Linked DNA regions of Caenorhabditis elegans. The protein of the gene in region 2 binds, or shares a complex with, the protein of the main gene of each other region. Each region holds a gene or a part of one and is shown on either strand. Other genes may lie near its edges.

Region 1 (4,124 bases), on a different chromosome or scaffold from region 2:
GAGAAATGATTTGTTGAACGAAGTGAGGAGATTTGTGGAGGACAAGCAATCGTCAAAGATTTTCAAAAACTTCGACGATGTCCAGTCTCATTTGAAAACACTTTTTGGTGTTTCTCTCGCCGGAATCACAGGATTCGGAATTAAAATGGCCGCATCTTCCATGGTAGAATAGTTGTTTTTTTGAAATTTAAATTTTTACCTTCGTTTTTAGGGCCATCTCACGAATGCACTTATGAAAGGAATGCTGCAGAGCGTTGCAGCCATCGGAATCGTTCTGGACGGTGTTACCCTGGCCATGAGCGCTAATGTAACCGCGAACAATGTTATCAAAATATAATATTAATTTCATTTCAGACGCTTAAAAACGGATCTTCCTCTGAATTGGCAGGAAAAATTCGTGAAGCTTCCGGCAAGATGGAAAGGATGCGACACAATGTTGTAACCAACTTCTTGAATTACGACGCCTGGAACAGCGATTAGTTTTCACTTTTCAAAGTTTCTTGATTTTTTTCTTGTTGATTTTCTTTTCTTTTTGTTGTTTTCTCGTTGTTATTTTTCTTGTTGTTGTTCTTATAAAATCTGACACTGAATTAAAATGTTCATTTTTTTGACAACATCATAGATTCAATGTAATTTCGACAAAAAAAATGGGACAGATTTACAGCTCGAGCTCACGGAGCATGTTCTTCACTCCATCAATCTTCTTGAGTAGATCTTTGACGACATCAGCATCGTTCGAAATTTGAGCAGTCTGAAAATAAAGCCAAATTAAAACTGAAAATCCCTTTAAATCATCAAATCTCACCACTCCAGAATTATTGTGCTGAAGAAGAGTCTCGCGGGAGTATGCATAGTGTGGCTGCTGACTGCGTGGCAAGTATTCACAGACACCTTTACGTTGAAGACGGTCAGCAAGAATCGCTGTAAAAATTATTATGAGGGGAATTTTCAAAAGAAAAAACGCACATTTTCCACAGAACAGATTGATCATGTTAATAGAGCCTTGAAATCCACAAGCCATGGCGTGAAGCGTCGAATTTTCCATTTGTCCCCATTTTTTAACAACCTCGCGAATATTATCAAATGATGGAATGGCGACTGGTGACCAGGTAAGACCATCTAGTCCACACAAGGAAACCTGAAAATAAATAGAAAAAATATGTTAAACATTTGAATGGAACTCTTACCCTTGTCGGCATCGACTGGAAAACTTTTGGCAATTGGAAGCATTTTGCCTTCTCATAATTGATAATTTTTCCAAAATCAACGAGATAAAGCTTGGTGGCTGAGATGCGTCGAACGCGTCGAACGGAACGGGGAGCATCACGGAAGACTCCATCGTAGCCAATTTCGAGCTCCGAATCGAATGGAACAATTTGAGCATACGCGTTCATTTTCTCGTGCATTGAATCATATTTTTCTTTCATTGACGAATCATTTATGCGGAGAAGAGTCAACGCGAAAAGATCTGGAGCCACTGATGAGGATGGAAGATAGTCGACAACTTCGACCTAAATTGAAAATTTAATATAAGCTGAAGGAAAAGTAAGAAACCTCGATATCCTTGTTGAGTGGAAGCCAGGATGATGATAGAAGAACTGGTCCGCTTTTCGATGGTGGAGATGATACAAGCTTCTGAACGGAATTGGAAGCCATTGGGAGAAGAGATCCTCCGACGTTCTTATGATCGGTAACCTTAAAATTACAGTTTTAATTTGAATTTATATATTCGCAACGCTCACCTTCAACGTGAAATTTTCGCCGATCAGATTTCCGTCGTTCAAATTCTTGCGAACTTCATCAGCATCTGCTACCGACATCATGTTCACAAATCTGAAGATTTTAAATGAATCGTTTCTAGAGTCTCACTATCTTACCCCAATTGAACTTGACCATCGTTGGATTGTCCAACAACACGGCAATAACTGACTTTTCCAAAGTTTTGGAAGACATGGAACAAGTTCCAATCATTCCAAGCTTTCGGAATATTGCGAATATGGAATCCGGCGTCTTTCAGATAATATGCGGTCGAGCTGGAAGCCATCTCTAAAAAATGTAATTCTGAAACTGAAAATATTCTTGCTTTAATTTTAAAAAAATGCTTGAAATGCAAAAAAAGCGAGCAAAAATGAAATCTCCCATTTTTCGCGCGTATTCCAGCGGTGTGCAATAGAGCGCACTTGTTTAAAAAAAACTACAGTACCCTTGAAATCATTATTTACAGGCACAGAATTTCGAAAAGATTCATTATTTCCCACGGAGAACGATTAAAATGATTAAAAATTGCTTTAAAAAATTTTGAAAGACAAATGGACGGAGAAAATTAAAAATTATTGAATAAAATAGCGAATTAATTAATGCTGTGAATTTGAGAATCATTAAGATGATATTTCGTTGCGAGACCAAGTTGTGTGGATTGAAGAAAGCAGGTGATCACCAAAATTTGAGATAGAGTCCTCCGACGTTTGCAATTGAGTACAAGATATCTGATTTTCCCTGAACTCGTTCAAAAATGCGTATAGTCCTTTCGCCGGAATTGTTTGTGTGCACATTGTACAATTTTCCATCTTTAATGTATCTCTCCTTTCTTACACAAGAAGTTCCATCTTTATTCTTCCAAATTGTTATCATTTTATTTCTATAAATGAAGGTTGATACAACAATTCCACCGGTTATCTCATGAGTTCCAAGTTTCAAACAGCCACTGTTAAACGTTTTACAAAAAACTTGATTGTGAGATTTCAGATAAGTACCATCGAAGTTGTATACGGTGTAAGCAGCAAGAGTTTTCAGACGATTTGGGAACGATACTCCACGGGTTTTGAGTGTTTCATTATACTTATTGATCTCGGAGAGCCGCCAAGCACCGCAGATTCCAGTTGCAATCGGAGTGTAACGCTGGAAATTAAAACAAATTTTTGATGGAATATATATTGATAGGGAGGAGTTTTAGGAAAGCTACTCCCGAATTGTAATCCAAAATGAGACTGATTTTTCACAAAATCTTTTGTTTAAAGCCTATGATTTTTTTAAATTATTATGTAGATATTTCCAACTGAGAATGCCTATTACGCAACATATTTAACGCTCAAAATATCTCGAAGAGAAATCCACAGTAATATGTAAATGACTACTGTAACCCCAAATCTTTCAGTTTAGTTCGAATTGAAAAAGTTACTGTAGGTTTCGCTACGAGATATTTGCGCAGAAAATATGTTGCGAAAATTAAAATCCATTTAGTTTCAGGAGTTTTTTGGTTCAAAGTAGCTCTACATTATTCAAATTGCACTGGAGTTCACTTCCAAATGTAAAAAATTGAGAGTTGGCAGGCATGTACGCCTGCCTGCCACCGATGCCATGGATGCCTTAAGTTCCTTCCAAAAATTTACCTGTAATTCCTTCTGTCTCTCCCTTTCGTCAATCTCGTCGAACTTCAGTTTGAGAAGTCTTATCTAGAAAAAAACATTTTCAACTAATTTTATCCCTACAAAAAACTATACCGTTGAATTTTGTTTCACTTCCGTTTCTTTCATCTCTTCGATTTCAGATCGTAATTGGCGAATTTCAGACAAAAGTTCTGATTTTTCAATTTCGTTGGGTTCACCCACGAGAGGTTCCAATGCCCCAAGTGGATCACTGTAACGAATTTCAGTGGTCTCTGATATTTGTTGATCCTTAACGGCTTCAGCGATTTTTTCAATAAGATCATCAACTTTTGCAGTAAATCCCACATTGTTTCCAATCCCGAATTCATCGGTGTTGGACACTTCACGAGATATAGTTTCCGATTTTTCAGATTCTTCAGTATCATCATTCTGAATAACTTCTTGGGAAGTGTTAACTCCCGCTTCATCAGAAGATTCTTCTTTTACAGATACTGCTTCTTCGTCAGAAGAAACATCTCCATTGATGCTAAGGATATCTAAAGCATCTTGAACTTCCTTCGACCTCTGTTCCATTTTCAATGCCATCTTTGCCACTTGAGATTCGCCATCTTCCTTCACAAATTCAAAACTCGAATCACTGGATGATCGGCTATGCGAAGACATTGGTTAAGGAGACGAAGAAGAATGAAATTGGTACCAAGTCTGAAAATAAGAATAGGTATATTATGTGAGCAAAGG
Region 2 (3,428 bases):
TGAGAGGTTGAATGCTTAAAATGCACATATTTCAGAACAGTCTTTTCCCTAGGAAATTTCAAATTTTATCTGATGTTCAGATCGTAGCACATGCTCTTTTGATCGGTTATTATTCATTCGGGGATTGACTGAGGATCTTTAGATTCTTTCTCACTTTCAGGTAGACTTCCTCGCGGCTTCGGCTCCGGTAGTAGTAGTTTACATATCAGGATTTTCAACACTTTTGTATTCCGACACTATTCCACTGGAAAATTCACTTATTGTGCATTTTTGGCAAAATTCTACAAGTTTCAAGGGAGACGCGCTTATACAAAAGGGTCTCGCCGCGGGAATCGTATTTATTAAAGATACTTGGTTTAAATGTCTTCTTACGTTAACAGAAGATTATTTTTAATATGTTTTTCTCGCGGCGAGACCCCTACACACATATGCTCTGTCCTTTGAACTTAAATGTTACTCTTTTCGTTTCAATACCAAATGCGCAATAAATCCCGCATTGAAGCATAGCGTTCTCCCATTACTTCTGCTCCCATTTCAGTTATTTTTTATGCCAATCTTGAAATTATTGCGTGCTCAAACGAAAATCAAACAAGCACTTACTTTGAACGATTTACTTATCGAAGGAATACCACAGAAAATCGTAGGATAAGATTATGAAAATTTGCACTGAAGTTCATGGGTGTGGGAAAACGAGGGAAATTATAACACTTAAAGAAGAAAAGGGCTGCTCAAAAATTGTGAGAAAAATACATAAATTTTGGAAAATGAATTTTGCAATTTATGGAAAAATTAAACGGATTGAAGAATGCTTCTGGTGATTTCTTGAATGTAGATATCCGAGCTGGTGAGCTTCTTCTCATCAGTAGAGGACGGCTTCAAAACAGCTTTCTTGGTCGGTGCATTCTCCTTGTCCTCCTCTTCGAAAACTTTCTCCGGTGAATTGACAATTGGATTTTTTGCGAGATAGTTCTGAAACATAACCAGGTTCTCATAAAATCTCAAAGTTTCATTTTTTAAGGAAAACATTAAGAGTTGTGTTAATATCAGTGCTTTGATTAAAAGTTCGAATAGTCTAAATAATTACCTCCACAAATTCCTTTTTCGAATTCAAGTTCCGGTCGTGAACGACAAAGAAGACATCAGAATCGTTTTTGACAGTCTCTGGCTCAGTGGCTTGAATAGTGTACCCCTTTTCTGGAAGACAACTATGTTATTATGATTCAAAAATGCTTGAAAACATTTACCGAGAACTCCGAAGCGCTCATTCAATGTGATTCGTTTATTTGTCGCAGTTTTGTACTTGTTTTCCAGAATCGACGCCACTTTGTTGCTGTGCTCACGGTCAGCTAAAGGAATAACTTGATATTGGATGGCAGTAGTCATTCTGAAAGGTTTAAATTTTTAAATTTTACTGAAAACGCAAAATATTTTGCAAAATGGGAAAGTGGAATGATTGAAAATCAGAAAATTAATTTTAAAATTGACAATTTTTAAAAGAATGGATGATAAATTTGTCTTCGCGCGCTACTCGAAACAAAAAGTGCAGCGGAGCGTGTTTGCATTACTTTCAAAACGACGCAAATAATGATTCATTTTCGGATTATCGACTCCAATTTTACGATTTTCGCCGGTATTTCATGTTTTATTTTGTTCCATGCAATCTTTTTTCACTTCTAAATAATGTCTCAAACTGTTTCGTCAATAAAAAAATCAATAAGCATGCGCATTGCAGGTAATGAGCGCAACACTCCAACCATATCTGGAGGCCGTGCGTCACACGCTCCAGGCAGCTCTCTGTCTTGAGCAATTCAGTTCGCAGGTGGTCGAGAGACACAACAAACCAGAAGTAAGATTTATAACAGTAAAATGACTTGCAAAGTGTGAAGATTGAATAATTTAAATCAGTCCGCCGCCAATTGCAATAGTTTTTCGCTCAAAAACTATTTAAATGTATTATTCTATTTGTATATTATAATAAAATTGTAGGTGGAAGTTCAAACATCGAAAGAACTGCTCATGACGCCAGTTGTTGTTGCTCGAAACAAACAGGAACGAGTACTCATCGAACCCTCCGTCAATTCTGTCAGAATATCAATCGCCATCAAACAATCCGACGAAATCGAGAAGATTCTGTGCCACAAGTTCACTCGATTCATGTGCCAAAGAGCCGATAACTTCTTTGTGCTCCGTCGCAAGCCACTGCCAGGTCAGAATTAATACTAATATTCAGAGATTAAAGCGATAATTTTAGGTTATGACATCTCGTTCCTCATCACAGCATCTCACACAGAAGCAATGTTCAAGCACAAACTTGTCGACTTTTTGCTTCATTTTATGCAGGAAATTGATAAGGTGAACATTTTAAGTTAATTTTTAAAAAATTCCATAAATTTCCAGGAAATTTCCGAGATGAAGCTGTCTCTCAACGCCCGTGCCCGTGTTTCTGCTGAAGAATTTTTGAAGCGTTTCAATTAATTTTCTCCCCATGATTCCCAATTCATTTTTCTCATTTTCACTCAAATTCCGAAGACTTTAAACTATTATGTGAACACGGTTTTTTGATCAATTTGTGTAAATATCATCTTTATTCTCAATTTTTTCACTTTTTGTTTCTGAAAATGACTCCCCTCCCAAAAATTTCCTGTTTTAGGTCCTATTTTGCCTTTTTGATTATCGATTTTTTTTACCGCACACTGACTTTATGAATTATTTATTCAATTTTTGCAATATGTATGATCTGAAATATCTCGTGAAACATTTACGAGCTTTAATATTTTAAAATGATTATTAAGTTGGAAATTGACAAATCAATTTCAGAAATGAAGTCTATTCTACTTTTATTCTCCCTGATAGTGCTCGGCAGTGCAACAGAAGAAGTGAGCAGAACTGAGCAAACATCGACATTATTCTCCGTCGAAGGCGAGGTTCGTATACCAAAAATGTTTGATTTTTGGATTAAAAATATCGATCATTTTGGCTATATTCATAGAGAAGTCATATTATAAATTAAGACAACGTTTATATGCTTCTGAATACTTTTTCCAGTTCTCACATTTTTTAAAATTTTATCTTCTAGGTTCCTATTCTAATAACAACAAATTCGTTGTAAATTAAATATTTCATAGTCCTCAAAAAAAAAATTTCAGATCGCACTTCCATCTACTCGAAATTGTGCAAAATGGTCCGCAGGTGCTCGTATTCATTTGAACCATGGCCAATATATGGGATTTGTTCGTCAAGATTGTACATTCCGTGTTGATTTCGTGCCTACTGGAACCTATATTGTTCAAATCGAAAATACAGATTTTGTCTTTGAGCCAATTCGCGTTGATATCACATCAAAAGGAAAGATGAGAGCTAGAAAATTGACAATTCTTCAGGTATATTGAATTTCGGAACAAATCAAACAATTTCGATCGTAAATTATT
Region 3 (3,681 bases), on a different chromosome or scaffold from region 2:
TTCGATGTGCTCGGCGCTATCGGTTGTGGAGTGGCGGAGGTGATCAGGCGAACCGGTGGGCCTGAGGATTTCGGCGGGATTTTAGGCCGAATTATAGGAAGTCGCATTTGTTGATTTGGTCGTGCTGGAAGAAAATTGGGTCTCGCCACGAGTTTTTTCGAGATTTTATTTTTTGTGGAAGTTTTGGGCCGAACACCGGTCTCGACACATAATTTTATTCGATTTTTTTTGTTTTTTTTTAGTAAAAATATGCTTAATGTTCTAGTATAACAATAAAACACTTGAATTTCAACAAATCGAGAGAAAAACTCTGAAAAATCTATCAAAATTCCGCAGAAAATCTTCTCTGAATTACAGTACTTTTTTAAAGGCGCACACCTATTTGTAATGAACACAAATTGTCGTGTCGAGACCTGGAAAATCTTACAAATTTTATATCTCGGCTCATAGTCGTCGGATGGCTGTGAGGAGCTGCCTTCTTCCATCTAAAAAATTACTTATTTTAAGAACAATTCTCTCCAACGAAAACAAGAATCGAGCCCCGATTTTAACAGATTAAAATGAAAAAAAAATCGCACATGCTAATGGAGAGATTATTTATCAAGGAATATGAGCAAATTGATTAAAAAAACCGGTAAAGGTCGAGATATCGAAGAAAGATCATCAGAAATCAGAAAAAAATAACTTATAAGCAAATTGGGGCACATTTAAGAGGAGACTTTCGAAAGTCTGATCGGCTTTCCCACTTGCTCCACGAGCTTCTTCGACTTTTTGAGCGATGGCCACTCGAGTGGAACGGCTGGCGACGAGACGACGAGGCTGCTAACTTGAAGTTTGTGATTGCGATCGAGCTTCTTCCCGTTGAAATCCTGCACGGCCTGATAGACTTGAAACTTGTTCTCCAGGGCAACGACGGCCGACTGGGCGCCGGTGATGGTGATCCCATTGACACGATATGGGGTGAGAAGTTGTGCGATGCCGAACGTGTTGAGCATCCCCGGATATCCACTGATCTTCAGCATGTTCTCCTGATCCGCACCTCTCGGCTCTTCTTCGGCGTGAAGAACTTTGAAAACGGAATCCTTGATGTCTTCGCTGTTGAAGAGAACCTTGTCGAACGTCGGTTTCGGATCTTTTCCATGGAGAATTCCACACGCGCTGAAACACACAGGAATTAAATAAAAAATGGCTAAATAAAAAAATGTAATTCGACTTACTTTCCCTCATTTCTCACAATCGCGGTGCCGCTACGATAAATCCATTGGCACATGTTCCGGAACACGCTATTCTGATCGGTTTCCACATTTTGGAAACGATTGGCACAGTTATCGTAGAGCAATCCCTGACGGACGAATCCGTATCTCGACGCCAACACCTTCATCCACTCGTACTCGTTCGACTGCGACTGTGGAAGAATGTGCACGACGAGGACGACCTGCGGATGCTCCTGAAGAATTATTTAATTGAATTTTATTTAATTTATCCATCAAAACCTTGTGAATCTTCTGATATGCATTAGTGCATGAGTCAAAATTGCCTGGCAAAGTCTCGACGATGGTCACCGGTGCAGCCTGGAATTATTGCATTTATAATTAATTAATTATTAACTCTTAATAACCTCATAATTGAAATAGTGACCAATAAAAGCTCCTTCCAATCTCAAAGTCTCGATAAACCACTCGGAAAATTCTCTCAAATCGGCTCGCTTCTTGTCATTCAGGTTATTGACAGTCACGACCATCGCCCATTTCGACTTGAAATCCGCCTTCTGATGGGCAACCATTTTCTGAAAAATGTACATTTTTATTAATTAAACAGTAAATTTTACAAGAAAACTGAAGAAACAGGCCGAGAAAATCAGAAAAAATGAAAAAGAAATCTCCGAAATTAATTTTTGAAACAATTTCCCGCGTTTGAAAATGGCTTCGTACGGTAGAGCGTACTTGCAGCTTGTTTGAAACCTCAGTTTTAGGGATCGAAATCTCCCATGGAAGTAGAAATGCCAGGAAAACATGATTTAAACACAATTTTACTCATAAAAGCTTTTTACAAATACAAAAATAAATAAAATAAAGTCGAGAAAAGAGACAAATCATTGATAGAACACACGAATTGCGAGGCGACGTCGGTTCTGGGAATAGAAGAACTCGGAGGAAAATTTGGAGTAGGAACGGCTGGGGATCAGAGCATAGTCGATGGCGAGCTGGAAATCGGAAATTGAAGTTTTATTCAATAGAATTATAAAATAACCTTATCAATGGAAACTCCAGGATCCGAAAAATCATCGAAGTAGTTGCCAGTGACTCCAACACGGATTGTCATGCTTTGTCCGCTCAGAAGAACTCCAGAAGTTGGAGCAGCGATGAGGTAGGCGTCGGCATTTGTCTGAAATTATCGGTTTTCAAACAATTTACATTATACAATTCAATTTGTGTATATTACGGGAGCACAAAATTTCTAGAATGCGTCTAGAAATTTCTAGAAATTTCTAGATTTTCTAGAAATCTAGAAATTTCTAGATTTCTAGAATGTTGACGCGCAAAATATCTTGTAGCGAAAACTACAGTAATTCTTTAAAGGACTACTTTAGCACTTGTGTCGATATACGGGTTTCGTTTTCGAAATGAAAACAATTCGTTTCTTCGAATTATTTACTTTTTTGCTTAATTTTAATATTCTATCGATATTTCGAAAATCCATATCTAATTAGCTATCTAAAAATTTCTATCTAGAATCGAGCCGTTAAATCGACACAAGAGCTACAGTAGTCGTTTAAAGAATTACTGTAGTTTTCGCTACGAGATATATTGCGCGTCAAATATGTTGCGCCATAAGCATTCTCAGAATTTTGTGTTAAGTATTATCAAAATATATAAACTGACATGTGAAACGTGGCTTATTTTTTATTTTGTTTTTTATTTAAGCTCCTCCCATTCCTGGCCTTTCGTTAAAATTTTTATTTATTAGCTCATTTAAAAAAATGGGAGGCGCTTAAATAAAAAACAAAATAAAAAATAAGCCACGTTTCACATGTCAGTTTATATATTTTGATAATATCGTAATAATTTGCGAGTTAATTTTACACGCAAATTCGAATTTTCAATTTTTTTTTTCAGCAAAAATGTTTGGAAAATCACAAAGTACCAACTTGTGCGTAAAGTCCGATGCATTGAAGTCGGTGAATTGCACAAAAACCACAATACATACAATTTTACGCGCCAAACCGAGACCTCACCTTCAAAGCGAACATAATATGCGATTGCGAGACGTTAGTGACTCGAATAACTTCTTCCAGCTTGCCAGCGGCAAACGTGATCCGGTCGGCCGGCACGGTGACAATATCTGCTGCAGCTCCACCGCAGGCCAACGTCATCGCCGACATGGTCTGGAAATTCCGGCTTTCCTCGATTTTCATAGTTTTCAAAGTAGATGGAGACGGATTCTGGGTGCTCTGCATATCAAGTGACGGCACGAAACTGCACGCTGTGCTCATTTCCAAATTCTCTTCCACTGGGAATATGTATTGCAGCGAGTCATCCTCAGAAAACTGGGTTATCGTTGGTGTCATCGCATCGTAGTTCCGCAGAAAACCATCAGTCTCCAGCTGTGAAACCAGTGACGTCAGAACTTCAAGCTTCTCCGCGAATTTCCAGGTGGCGGGCACTGCGGACAAGTTGGAGC

What was found.
Region 1: tost-1 (region 2) and tofu-6 share a complex: the UniProt entries of both Caenorhabditis elegans proteins name them as parts of the tost-1 variant of the PETISCO complex.
Region 3: tost-1 (region 2) and pid-3 share a complex: the UniProt entries of both Caenorhabditis elegans proteins name them as parts of the tost-1 variant of the PETISCO complex.

Annotation. Positions count from the first base shown.
Region 1 is NC_003280.10:5,419,199-5,423,322, reverse strand, and holds tofu-6 (Embryonic developmental protein tofu-6), read right to left. Parts: upstream 2,076-4,124; 5' UTR 2,045-2,075; coding exon 1,878-2,044; intron 1,834-1,877; coding exon 1,743-1,833; intron 1,696-1,742; coding exon 1,555-1,695; intron 1,512-1,554; coding exon 1,188-1,511; intron 1,139-1,187; coding exon 967-1,138; intron 922-966; coding exon 806-921; intron 752-805; coding exon 659-751; 3' UTR 586-658; downstream 1-585. Other genes in the region: F07F6.7 (Apolipoprotein L, 1), read left to right, coding at 1-163, 212-307, 355-480; EEED8.15 (PHR domain-containing protein), read right to left, coding at 2,434-2,898, 3,390-3,452, 3,501-4,049. UniProt on the Caenorhabditis elegans protein: Component of the pid-1 and tost-1 variants of the PETISCO complexes, which have roles in the biogenesis of a class of 21 nucleotide PIWI-interacting RNAs (piRNAs) that possess a uracil residue at the 5'-end (also called 21U-RNAs) and embryogenesis, respectively.
Region 2 is NC_003281.10:4,876,928-4,880,355, forward strand, and holds tost-1 (Protein tost-1), read right to left. Parts: upstream 1,385-3,428; 5' UTR 1,384-1,384; coding exon 1,245-1,383; intron 1,195-1,244; coding exon 1,085-1,194; intron 970-1,084; coding exon 790-969; 3' UTR 599-789; downstream 1-598. Other genes in the region: arx-6 (putative actin-related protein 2/3 complex subunit 4), read left to right, coding at 1,736-1,846, 1,987-2,206, 2,252-2,352, 2,398-2,475; C35D10.1 (ER membrane protein complex subunit 7 homolog), read left to right, coding at 2,820-2,924, 3,147-3,380. UniProt on the Caenorhabditis elegans protein: Component of the tost-1 variant of the PETISCO complex which plays an essential role in embryogenesis. Within the complex acts as an adapter which binds to the complex via erh-2.
Region 3 is NC_003279.8:2,618,761-2,622,441, reverse strand, and holds pid-3 (Protein pid-3), read right to left. Parts: upstream 1,793-3,681; 5' UTR 1,784-1,792; coding exon 1,619-1,783; intron 1,572-1,618; coding exon 1,494-1,571; intron 1,448-1,493; coding exon 1,218-1,447; intron 1,159-1,217; coding exon 708-1,158; 3' UTR 583-707; downstream 1-582. Other genes in the region: Y23H5A.2 (t-SNARE coiled-coil homology domain-containing protein), read right to left, coding at 1-124, 428-485; spe-47 (Major sperm protein), read right to left, coding at 2,093-2,203, 2,251-2,385, 3,236-3,681. UniProt on the Caenorhabditis elegans protein: Component of the pid-1 and tost-1 variants of the PETISCO complexes, which have roles in the biogenesis of a class of 21 nucleotide PIWI-interacting RNAs (piRNAs) that possess a uracil residue at the 5'-end (also called 21U-RNAs) and embryogenesis, respectively.